3 linked regions of the Macaca fascicularis genome follow. The protein of the gene in region 1 interacts with the protein of each later gene in a biochemical or structural test. Links are inferred from orthologs where the notes say so. Each region holds a gene or a part of one and is shown on either strand. Other genes may lie near its edges. The genes, in order: STAT2, CREBBP and IFNAR1.

The links.
Region 2: the proteins of STAT2 (region 1) and CREBBP form a complex in vitro, tested with the Homo sapiens proteins (2 studies listed by BioGRID). The link is inferred for Macaca fascicularis from reciprocal best matches to the Homo sapiens genes STAT2 and CREBBP.
Region 3: the proteins of STAT2 (region 1) and IFNAR1 form a complex in vitro, tested with the Homo sapiens proteins (2 studies listed by BioGRID). The link is inferred for Macaca fascicularis from reciprocal best matches to the Homo sapiens genes STAT2 and IFNAR1.

The regions. Positions count from the first base shown.
Region 1 is NC_088385.1:63,163,597-63,167,854, forward strand, and holds the start of STAT2 (signal transducer and activator of transcription 2), read right to left. Parts: upstream 2,804-4,258; 5' UTR 2,585-2,803; intron 1-2,584. Other genes in the region: APOF (apolipoprotein F), read right to left, coding at 3,751-4,258. UniProt on the Homo sapiens protein: Signal transducer and activator of transcription that mediates signaling by type I interferons (IFN-alpha and IFN-beta).
Region 2 is NC_088394.1:4,656,639-4,660,934, forward strand, and holds the start of CREBBP (CREB-binding protein), read right to left. Parts: upstream 2,825-4,296; 5' UTR 2,499-2,824; coding exon 2,414-2,498; intron 1-2,413. Other genes in the region: uncharacterized protein, read left to right, coding at 2,884-3,887. UniProt on the Homo sapiens protein: Acetylates histones, giving a specific tag for transcriptional activation. Mediates acetylation of histone H3 at 'Lys-18' and 'Lys-27' (H3K18ac and H3K27ac, respectively).
Region 3 is NC_088377.1:13,572,507-13,576,059, reverse strand, and holds part of IFNAR1 (interferon alpha/beta receptor 1), read left to right. Parts: intron 1-74; coding exon of another isoform or gene 75-99; exon of another isoform or gene 100-600; intron 601-636; coding exon 637-836; intron 837-938; coding exon 939-1,093; intron 1,094-3,553. UniProt on the Homo sapiens protein: Together with IFNAR2, forms the heterodimeric receptor for type I interferons (including interferons alpha, beta, epsilon, omega and kappa).

The sequences.
Region 1 (4,258 bases):
GAGCCACCGCACCCAGCCGGCCCCAACCTGTATTTTAATAGCTTCAGTAAGTGGGCCTTTGTGCTTTAATGGGAATTTTCTTTTCTTTTTTTTTTTTTAAGACAGGGTCTCACTTGGTCACCCAGGCTGGAGTGCAGTGGCATGATCGTGGCTCAGCTTTGATCTCTCAGGTTCAAGCGATTCTCTGCCTCAGCCCCTCAAGGAGCTGGGACTACAGGAGTGTGCTATCACGCCAGCTAATTTTTTGTAGAGATAGGATTTTGCCATGTTGCCCAGGCAGATCTCAAACTCCTGAGCTCAAGTGATCTGCCTGCTTCAGCCTTCCAAAATGCTGGGATTACAGGCATGAGCCACCATAACCAGCCTAATGGTAATTTTCAAACACACACTAAAGCAGAGTGACTAGTACAAGGATCACCATCCAGCTTTAACAAACTACTGTTTCCACTATCTTATTTCATCTATCTCTCTAATTCATTTATTTTGCATTTATGTGTTTGTTGTTTATATTTGTTTATGCTAAACAAATATAAGCATTTAAAGATCAGTGTTGATGTTAAGTATTTATTACAGCATGATCCCTGCTGACCCTGAAGCTTTTTTTTTTTTTTGAGATGGAGTCTTGCTCTGTCACCCAGGCTGGAGTGCAGTGACATGATCTCGGCTCACTGCAAACTCTGCCTCCCGAGTTGAAGGGATTCTCCTGGCTCAGCCTCCTGACTAGCTGGGACTACAGTCGCCCACCACCATGCCCTGCTAATTTTTGTATTTTTAGTAGAGATGGGGTTTCACCATGTCATCCAGGCTGGTCTGGAACTTCTGACCTCAGGTGATCTGCCCACCTTGGCCTCCCAAAGTGCGGGGATTAGAGGTGTGAGCCACCATGCCCGGCCACCTGAAGCTTTTTTAGGAGCTAAATCTTTTTGGAGGTTAGGTAAGTACACCCTATAAACTGCCCTCCATATAGGAAGGAGGAGCTCCATGCTAGAAGACATCTAAATGCTATGCAACGGGTTGCTCAGTCCCTAAGAATATGACACGTTTATGACCTGTGAATCTTGAATATAAGTTATCAACTTTGTGAGATCCTGAAACTTCACTTAAATTTTTTTTGTTTTTTTTGTTTTGGCAGGGCACAGTGGCTCATGCCTGTAATTCCAGCACTTTGGAAGAGGCGGGAGGATCACTTGAGGTCAGGAGTTCAAGACCAGCCTGGCCAATGTGAAATCCTATCTCTACTAAAAATACAAAAAAATTAGCCAGGCATGTTGGTGGGCACCTGTAATCCCAGCTACTCAAAAGGCTGAGGCAGGAGAATGGCCTGTACCCAGGAGGCAGGGGTTACAGTAAGTGGAGATCACATCCAGCCTGGGAGGCAGAGTGCAGTCTCTGAATCAAAACAACAACAATGAATTGGCTTTTGCCTGTCACCAAGCAGGCTGTGCCTTGCATCCTTCTCCCCACTGTTCCCTGCTCGCTGCCATCTGGTGTCTATTTAGGAAACTGAAACTTAAGCTTGTTGCAGCCTGAGCCTAACAAAACAGAATTCATGCACATTAGTGGTCTAAAAAGGTCACATGATTTTATTACAAAGTAAAAAGAAATGCTTGGGGTGGTATAGTCTTCTACTAACATGAATAACATCAGCTGCCCTTCTACCTCCAGCAGGAACAAGGGAAGGGAGGGATTGGGCAGGGGCTATTTTCATTTTAACCCTTTTAGTAGTGCTTGATTTTTAAAACTATGTGTCTGTATTGCTTTTATGATACAAAAAAATATAAGTTAAAAAAATGATTAGGTGGCCAGGCATGGTGGCTCATGCCTGTAATCCCAGCACTTTGTGAGGCCCACAAGACGGGAGGATGGCTTGAGCTCAGTCAGGAGTTTGAAACCGAGCCTGGGCAACATACTGAGATTCCATCTTTAAAATAATAATAATAATAATAATAATAATAATAATGAGGTCCCAATTCTTGAGGATTTAAGTGTCTGATATTAAAGGAGCAAGTCAGCAAAGATTCAAATATGAAAACAAAACAAAAAACCTGGTCTCCCCGAATGGATTGCAAACACTGAGGTTAAGAGCTAAAACAATTTTTTCTCATTATCTCTCACTCTTAAGCACATATTTTGCACTCAAGAAGCTTTTCTGAAATGAACTGAATTTTGTGTGTGACCTTAGGCAATGTTTCATCTTTCAGTAGCTTATACTTTTAAACAAAACAAATAAAGACGATAGATTTATCTATCTTTGTTTTTAGATTTATCTATCTTTGAACATCGTTTTTAGGTGAAGATAAAAAATAATGCAGAGCAGAGTAACGTCAGATACCGAACCAACAATGCCAGATTCCGGGTCTCGGAAGCTGCAGGGCAGTTTTCGGGGAGGGGCATTGGGGTTGGGGAGATAGGCTGGACAGGAGAAGATCGAGAACCGAGCAGGCGACAGACAGCTCCTCTTTCAACCTGGGGACAGAAGCTGCCCCCTCCAGGGCGTAACTCCTGGGGCCAGTCGCCCTTCCCTGGGAGGAACTCTCACTCTCACCCCCACCCCTACCTCAGCACACCCTCTCAGGGCCCGTACCTGATTAGGGTTGCAGTCTCCGCGCCCTCCACTGGCTCTGGTCGCGACTTCCCGTCCGTAGAAGGAGTTCGGGTACTAGAGCCTCAGGCCCCGCCTACAACTTCGGCCTACACCCTCGGACCCGCCCCCTCGTAGTTGGCAGCGGAAGTCCGGAGCGGCCCCATTCCCAGTCGCCACCCCGACACTGGCTGCCACTCAGTCAAGCCCTTCCCAGACTGCGAACTCACTGGCGCCGCCGCAACTACACCCCCCCGCGGGGCGGGACAAGCTGAGCCGAAACCACACCTGCAGCTCCAGCGATTGGTGGAGAAGTTCAAGTAGGCACTTTCTACGAGGGGAGGAGTCTAATTAGTGGACTGGCCCAAGACTGAAACAGCTGATTTTCGAGAACCCGCTCGTGAGCCACGGAACCGAAACTAGCTTGAGGAGCCTGTAGACGCCAAGGGCTCCATGGGAAGGGGTGGGACCGGAATTTCGACGCCTTGGGATAGGAAGAGGAGGGCTGAGGTAATGAAAACAGTATTTTTTTTTTTTTTTTTTTTGAGACGTGGTCTCGCTCTTATCACCCAGGCTGGAGTGCAGTGGCGCGACCTCGGCTCACTGCAGCCTCGACCACCCGGGCTCAGGTTATTCTCCCGCCTCAGCCTCCCAGGTAGCTGGGACTACAAGCGTGCATAACTCCGCCAGGATAATTTTTTGTGTTTATTGTAGAGACGGAGTTTCGCCATGTTGCCCAGGCTGGTCTTGAACTCCTGACCTCAGGTGATCCTCCTGCCTCGGCCTCCCACAGTGCTGGGATTACAGGCATGAGCCACTGCACCTGGCTAATAGCTATTTATTGAGAGTACTGTGATAAGCACTTTAGATTAATTGTGTCATTTAAAATTTACAGGGCAACTCATTGAAGTTAAAATCATTCTCTCCTTTAGAAATTTAAAAACTGATCTTAGTTCAAGAAAGAAGTTACCAGTCAGTGATCACGGAGGCTCTAACAAGTGGAGCCTAGATTCAAAACCAAACCCTCTGACTTCAACCCCCAAACATTTACGTTCCTACGTTTTACTGTACAGCCTTACTCCTGAATAAATCGGAGTTTAAAATTTTGAAGACATGTATACAGCTTGTCAGGATATTAGATTTATTAGTTCTGTGGTTACTACCTTCTTTTATATCCCAAGACTCCCAGCCCCAGGATCTAAGTCATAGCTCTTGATTATGGCCCACCCCCAGTAGGGAGCTGAACTTACTACTTCTGATATGAAAGAAGCCAGGGTAGTTGTTTCTTCCAAGTCACTCACATCTGAGATGGCCCTTAAACCCTCCTTGGTGGTCTCTGGCTGAGAGATGTTTGCGTCTTTCCGATCTTGGTAATACTGGATCAACTGCTGAACCCCAGACCTTAATGCAGGTTTAAGTGCAGCACTGATCGCTAGACCCATAGGTCCCCCTGACATCCCGGCCATGGTCATCAGAAGGTCATATCCCAGATCTATGGCCCCATCTCGGCCTCGTTCCCTGGCCTTGCCCAGGCAGTTTTGAGTAGCATAATACAAAGCTGTGCCCAGGTTGTAGAAGGTTCCCACTCCTGGCAGCAGCTGGATGACATTGTGCATACCTTGCTCCTTCTCATTCTCACAGTCCTCTGTGGGGAGGGAGCGCCGGACCCTTCCTGTG
Region 2 (4,296 bases), on another chromosome or scaffold:
CTTGTTTTTTTTAGAGACAGCGTCTCACTCAGTCACCCAGACTGGAGTGCAGCAGTGCGATCTCGGCTCACTACAACCTCTGCCTCCCAAGTTCAAGCGATTCTCATGCCTCAGCCTCCCAAGTAGCTGGAATTACAGGTGCATGTCACCATGCCTGGCTATTTTTTTGTATTTTTAGTACAGATGGGGTTTTACCATGTTGGCCAGGCTGCTCTCGAACTCCTGACTTCAAGTTGATCCACCAGCCTCCCCCTCCCAAAGTGCTGGGATTACAGGCATGAGCCATGGCATCCAGCCCCTTGTTTAATGTGCTTGACAATGATCCCTTCCTTGGTCCTCCACACTAACAGACCCTTTCACAATAGTGTGATGGTGATGAATGTGTAACTCAGGACCCAACTTAAGTATGATGTCGACTTTCTACTTTGGATTAAATCAGAGTCATTTAAAGCTGACTTTTGGTCCCACAAAAGAGCCCCTGTGCCTTACAAGGATCAAAACTGGAAAGGAAGAGGGAAAAGCTGGTTAAGTGTGGAAAATCCTTTCTGATCAACTTGTTATTAAGCATCTGATCATCCAATAATGGAAACTACTATGGAAAAAGCTATCCTTCGGGCTCCATCTTGGAAACAGCTGGATGTAAACAGTAGGATAAGCCTTTTTGTTAAGTCTTGTGTTACTAATTGTCCCCCTTTTTAAGACAAAATCTACAACAAATTCATTCAACAATAGCAAAGCTACAAAGCCATCCAGGTTACCAGTTTCAGAAGACAAGCTTCAAAGGTGAACTCGCCTCGTATGACCTACGTCTCACAGAACTGAAGACTACTCAAACACAGCAAGATTAATGAAGCAACTGAGATCTGTTTTGCAGTACAACGGCATTTAAACTATTGTTTCCAAATTTCTCACTTCAGTAAGTTCATTTCATAAGATTAATGTCAAACTCAACTTTTATCAGCTAAAAAGAAAAACATTATTAGTGATTTTTACATACCATGAGCATCATTTACTCCTCCCCACTGTTTAAGAAATTTTAACTAGATAAGAATCTCCTTATGATTGATTTTTAAAAATCGTTTTTCACTTCCACATTAATATTAAATGTCTCTTATCATAACTTGATTCCAGGAATTGTATTCAAACTTAAGCCACAAAATTCAAGTTTTGTTTCAACAGCAATAGCAGTTTTTTGAATATGCTAGTGGTCGGTCACAGAACTATTTCCACAAGTTGAACAGCTGTGTCTAGCGCAAATCTGAAGGCAGCAATGTAATTCAATTTGGACTCATTCATTAGAAACTGATTTTCAGATGCTGCCACTGCAAGACTACTGGAGAAATGCAAGCTGCGCTGGAGACGGAATTGTTCGCAGCGGCACAGAAGTTTCTGCTGCAAAGGAGAGAGCTCTAAAAGAGGAAATACAACTAGTTCATGTTACCATGAACCAGCGCAGTAGGACCCAGAATTACTGAATGAATAGGAAACTAAATACTTCTCTTAAGCAGCAATGATTACTTAAGAAAGTTTCCAGGGAAGCTGTTAAATGAGAGGAAACAAACAAAAGATGATTTATTCAGTATCCTGCTACATTTTTTTGAAAAATTGGAATTCCTACATGCCTTAACATAATTTTTTGTACATCTACACTGTGAAAGCAACACAAACTCAAATGGAGATGGCAGCCCAAATGAACTTAAATCTGCTGTTTAACTTTCTTTTGAAGTTACACATGGAAATGAAACACACCACAGCAACTTTAATGACATCTTGCTAACGAAGTTTGGATTTTGAAAAATGGAATGACTAGTTCACTAAAAACAACAACAACAACAACAAAAAAAAAAACAAAGAGTTTTGAAAATAAGCACTAAGCATCTTTCCAAGGAACTCACTCATTCCAAGAAACTTCGGTTCTAACTCGCAAGCTGGCGGCTGCTGTGAGTATCCTCTGACTGCAGCCTGATCAAGGTGTCGCCAATCCAGAAAATACACTGCGCTACCTTTGGCCACGATCTTGCTTTCTCTAAGCATCAAAGGTACCCTCCGCTGTCATTCCTCTGGACGGCCACGCGTGTGGACACGGCCGCGGATGGATGCGTAGGACATTACCAAACAAACCCACACACTGCACTTTACTTCTTCCCTCCTGGAGTGCCACTCGGGTCCCCGCGAGGAGGGCTGATCGGGTGCGGGGAGGCCGAGCGCACCGGGCGTGTGCTGCCCAACTCGGGCCCAGTGACAGTCCTGCGACGAACTTCCACCCTCCGGCGCGGGGCGAAGGGAACGGGCTGCGGGGCCTGCTCCGGGCTCCCGGCTCGGTAGGTATCCGCGACCACCACCCCCGGACACTCTCTTTCAGGTGGGGGTGACAGCGCGCCCCGGGCCCCCGCCGCCCCGGACCCCTCCTCACCTGTGCTGTCATTCGCCGAGAAGCCGGGCGAGCTGAGTTTGGCTCGTTTGGGGTTGGGCGGTCCGTCCAGCAAGTTCTCGGCCATTTTCACCTGCTCGCGAAAACAGCCCCGGGAGCGGACGGCCGGGCCGGCGAAGGCCCGGACGGGGGTCGGGGGCCCTGCCGGCTGCGAGGGAGAGCAGCGAGCGCGGCCGCGAGCGGGCGGGCGGGCGCCGAAGGAGAGGGAGGGCGCAGGCCGGGTGGGGGAGGCGGCGGCCAAATCTCAGCCACAGCAACAGCGCCCCGCAGCGCTCACCGCCCGCCCCCGGCCGCCGCCGCCGCCGCCGCCGCCGGCCGCGGCCCCCTCATCCCCTGCCCGCCTCCCGAGCGCGACACTCCGCGGCGGGGGCGCCCCGGCGGCCCGGCCGCCCCCCCGGGCCCGGCTGGCAGCGACGGCGCCCGGCCGGGCGGCTCAGGCAGTCCCCGGGAACATGGTGCCGCCGCCGCCGCCGCCTCGCTCCCCCCCCGCGCCCCACTTAATGAATTCGCTCGCGGCCCGACGACGAGGGGGCTCCGGGCTCCGCTCCCCGCCCGCGGCCCGCCGCCGCCGCCGCCGTGAGGAAAAACAATGCGCCGAGCGGGGTCGCCGCCGCCGCCGCGGCCCCCCCACCCCCCGTTCCGCCGCCGCCGCCGCCGCCGCCGCTGCCGCCGCCGCCGCCGCCGGGCTCCGGGAGGCCGAGCCGAGAGGCGAGCGGGGCCGCCGGGGCGGGCGCCGAGGGCCGGGCGGAGCGGGCCGGCCGGGCGGAGCGGGGTGCGCGGGCGGTTGTGGGGCCCGGGACCGGCGGGGCCGAGTAGATCGCGCTCGAAGCCCCGGTCGGGTCCGCGACAAGATGGCGGCTGTTGATTCCTCAATTAAAAAAAAAAGAAAGTTTTTTTTCTTCTCTTTCCAGAGCCTGAACGGGGAGGGGGTGGGGGCGGGGCACGCCGGTGCGTCACCCCCCCCGCGGCGTCACCACGCACGGCCCCCGCCCCGCCCCCTCCACCTGCGCCGGCCGTGGCGGAAAGAGCCGAGCGTGCTCGGGCCGAAGGGCCGAAGGCCCGAAGGCGCGGCCGCGAAGCGCAGGGCGGCGGGCTGCAGGGCGCGGGCCAGGCCTGCGGGGCGCCCGGGCTCCGGGCTGAGCCTCGGCTTTTGTTCTGATGGCGACGAGGCGGCGAGGGCCGGGGCTCCGGGCCCCAGCGGGCTCCGGGAGCAGCGGCCTGGCCACGGGCTGGGCTCTCCGGCGCGGATTCGACGCCAGCCCGGGCCCGCCCGTCCGGCTGGGGCGGCGCTGCGTGTTCCCAGCTCCTCGCGTCCCTGCCCGATACCCTCCTCGGTGGCGTCGGGCGGGGACGATCGGGGCGACCCCAGCCCAAGCCGCACCACTAGCCTTCGCCGCCGGCCAGGGAAGTGGAATGGCCCTGCAGGTTACAAACCGCCTTCAAGTCTGCCGACGAGGTGGGCGGATGGGGAAACTGAGGCAGGAGGGGGGAGAACAACTTCTCCAAAGTCGTCGAGGCAGCAAGTGGCAGGGCCGGGATTCGGGTCCCGCCCCACCTGGTGACACTAGGGAGTAAGGGGGCCTCACGCCTGTCCCAGCCCGAGGCGGTGGGGCCGACACCCTCACCTTGGAGAGTGGGGTGGCGAGCGCCGGCCTGGGTGGAGAAGGGCCCGCGCATCGGGGCTTAAGCCTGGACGCCCAGGCCGCACTCCCCGCCCCAGGCAACTCGCTTGGCGCCTCGCAGGTGCCCCAGACAGGGTTGCGGGCCTGGGGAGTCCCCCACGCGAGACCACAGCCCGCGGGACACTTCCACGAACACCCGAGGTGCTCCCATCCAAGTTAGTTATCTGCCCCTCCAAACTAGCC
Region 3 (3,553 bases), on another chromosome or scaffold:
CTGTCTTTAAAACAATTTTTATTTGCAAATTTTTATAACTTAATTTTTAATAATGATTTTTGTTTAAAAACCAGTTTGCACTTTGGGAGGCCGAGGTAGGTGGATCACCTGAGGTCAGGAGTTCGAGACCAGCCTGGCCAACATGGCGAAACCCCGTCTCTACTAAAAATACAAAAATTAGGCAGGCCTGGTGGCATGCGCTTGTAATCCCAGCTACTCAGGGGGACAGAGGCAGGAGAATTGCTTGAACCCAGGAGGCGGAGGTTGCAGTGAGTCAAGATCCTACCACTCCACTCCAGCCTGGGTGACAGAGCGAGACTCGTTCTCAAAAAAAAAACAAAAAAACAAAAAAACCCCAGCTTGCAGCATTCCTGGAAATTCTAACTAACAGATATTCTTGCACATTGACATAAGCCACCTGCAGCAGAGCACAGCGTGATCACAGTGTGGAACAATGTTTGGCTTTCTTTTATGTTAGATGCATATCTCCGCCATTGTTTGTGAGTTTCCTGAGGGTGGCTACTATTTATTTCTGTAACCTGAGCCCCCAACACAGTGTCTGGCATATTGTACATACTTAATAAATATCTATTGAATTAATGTGTGGTTGAGTTTAAAAATTGTTTGTCTTAAAAGTGCCTTTTTAAAAAGGAAACCTGGAAACCATTTGTATAAATGGAAACAAATACCTGACTGCGAAAATGTCACAACTACCCAGTGTGTCTTTCCTCCAAACACTTTCCAAAAAGGAATTTACCTTCTCCGCGTACAAGCATCTGATGGAAATAACACGTCTTTTTGGTCTGAAGAGATAAAGTTTGATACTGAAATACAAGGTAAGGCAGTAGTTTTTACTGGAGATTGTAATTCTCTGATTTGGTACAAGTTCTTAAAATTGTTTTTCTAATTGAACATTATTTCTTTACAAATTTTTCTAGCTTCCCTGCTTCCTCCAGTCTTTAACATTAGATCCCTTAGTGATTCATTACATATCTCTATCGGTGCTCCAAAATGGTCTGAAAACAAGCCTGTGATCCAGGATTATCCACTGATTTATGAAATTCTTTTTTGGGAAAACACTTCAAAGGCTGAGGTAAAAAGACTATAGTATAATTTTGTAGCTTAGAGTTATAACTGTGATTTAGGTAAATAAAGCTTGAATTTAAAATTTGGGGGAAATTTTTAAACTTTTATGTGGGCTGAGTGCAGTGGCCTGTAATCCCAGCACTTCAGGAGGCCAAGGCGAGAGGATCACTTGAGCCCAAGGGTTTGAGACCAGCCTGGGCAAAATAGGGAGACCCTGTCTCAAATAAAAATTTTTAAAAATTAGCCTGGTGTGATGGCGTGCACCTAATATTCCCAGCTACTTGGGGTGGGAGGATCGCTTGAGCTTCAGAGGTCAAGCTTGCAATGAGCCATGATCGTGCCACTGCACTCCAGCCTGGGTGACAGAGTGACTGACAGCCTGTCTTAAAAAAGAAAAAAAAAGGCCGGGCGCGGTAGCTCACGCCTGTAATCCCAGCACTTCGGGAGGCTGAGGCGGGCGGATCACGAGGTCAGGGGATCGAGACCATCCTGGCTAACACATGAAACCCCATCTCTACTAAAAATGCAAAAAATTAGCTGGGCATGGCGGCGGCCGCCTGTAGTCCCAGCTGCTTGGGAGGCTAAGGCAGAGCTTGCAGTGAGCCGAGATCGTGCCACTGCACTACAGCCTGGGCAACTGAGCAAGACTCCATCTCAAAAAAAAAAAATAAAGAGTGATTAACTCAGATATTTACAGAATGAAGAACATGAGCATTTTTCATGTTTTGTACTATAGAGTTATGGGTGAGCTACATCTGGGCGCAGTTTACTTTTAAAATACAGATTCCTGAGCCTGTTGTTACTGAATCATTATCTCTGGGGATGGAGCTCATGAATTTGCATTTTTTTTTAACATGATTCCTATGTATTCATCTAAACCCGGGTTTCTTAGCACTACTGACGTTTGGGCTGGATAGTTCCTTGTGGGGCAGGGGGGACTGACCTGTGCAGTGCAAGATGCCTGGCAGCATTCTGGCTTCTGCCTACTAGATGCCAGTAGTGTTCCTTCCTAGTTGTGACAACCAAAAATATCTCCAAATATTGTCAAATGTCCTCTGGTGGCTCCTCCAAGGGGACAAAAATTGATTCTCATGGGACAAAAGAATCGATAGTACAGTTGTTTTTATTCCTCCAAAACCATTGGAAAACATTCTTCCAAAGTTCAGCTTTGCCCAACAAAATGTTATTCCTTAGTCTTTAATTTTTTGATGGGGGAAGGATTAGAAAAAAATTGCCCAAAAAGTAATGAAAAAAGGGTTGACAAACACTGGTCTAAACCCTAAAATTCAGGTACCACTGACAAAGATAATATACACCATCAGATAATATACATGTTTCCCAGATCACTTCTTCCTTGTGGAGTGTTAGTCAAGGATCTACCTTTAAAACTCCTGTCCAGGCAGGCTGGTGAATTCTTTCACTTTGCTTCATTTTCTATTGGAAATCTAAGCAAATTCCATTGATTTGGCTGCTTCCCTTTTTCACTGTCTAACAACACTGTAACCATAGCATAATGTAGCCCATTGAGAATTATGGTCAGTTTTCAGATGTCTGTAGATCAGACAAACCTAAATTTCTATCTCACACTACTAAATTGTGTAACGTTACTCAAGGTGCTTTATCTCTTGGAGACTTTGCTTCCTCTTCTCTGAAGTGGTGGTAATCATAACAACTAAATTTTTCAAAAGGATGTTTATAAGTTTAAAAGGAAGTAACAGATAGCAAATACCTAGCACATGGCTGGACAAGTAGTAGAGATTCAATAGATTGTAGTTGCCATCTTATCCTATACTGGATCATATATCAGTAATTATTATTATAGAAACTCTTATTGAATACTTATATGTAAGGTACTATGCTAAGTATTGCACATGAATTGTCTGAATCATTCTTCAAAACAACGCTGCCAAATGATGTGATTGGTTAAATTGCTGTTTGGCAAATACTTGGGATGGTGCCTTCATCCCGGCATCACCAGACTGTAGATGCTGGAGCCCGAGTAGATGTGCTGAGAGCAGAGGCCTTAAGTGTGCTTGCAGAGTTTGGCTTGGCTCTTGCGCTGCTCCTGTTTGCCAGGGAGAAAGCGTATTCCACATAGTCTCTGGTCCAAGGAGGATTAAAGGCTGTTGGAGCTGACCTAAACCCGATGCAATGCACAGCCTCCATGGGAGCTCCCCAGCCAGTCTGTAGACTTGTGAGTGAGAAACTACATAATCATGTTGTGAGCCACTGAATGTTAAGGCAGTTTTGTTATATCTTTTTTTTTTTTTTTTTTGAGACAGGGTCTCATTCTGTCACCCAGGCTGGAGTGCACTCATGTGATGTCAGCTCACTGCAGCCTCGACTTCCTGGGCTTAAGCGATCCTCCCACCTCAGCTTCCCAAGTAGCTGGGACTACAGGCACATGCCAACATGCCCAGCTAATTTTTTTGTATTTTTGCTAGAGATGGGGTTTTACCATGTTGCC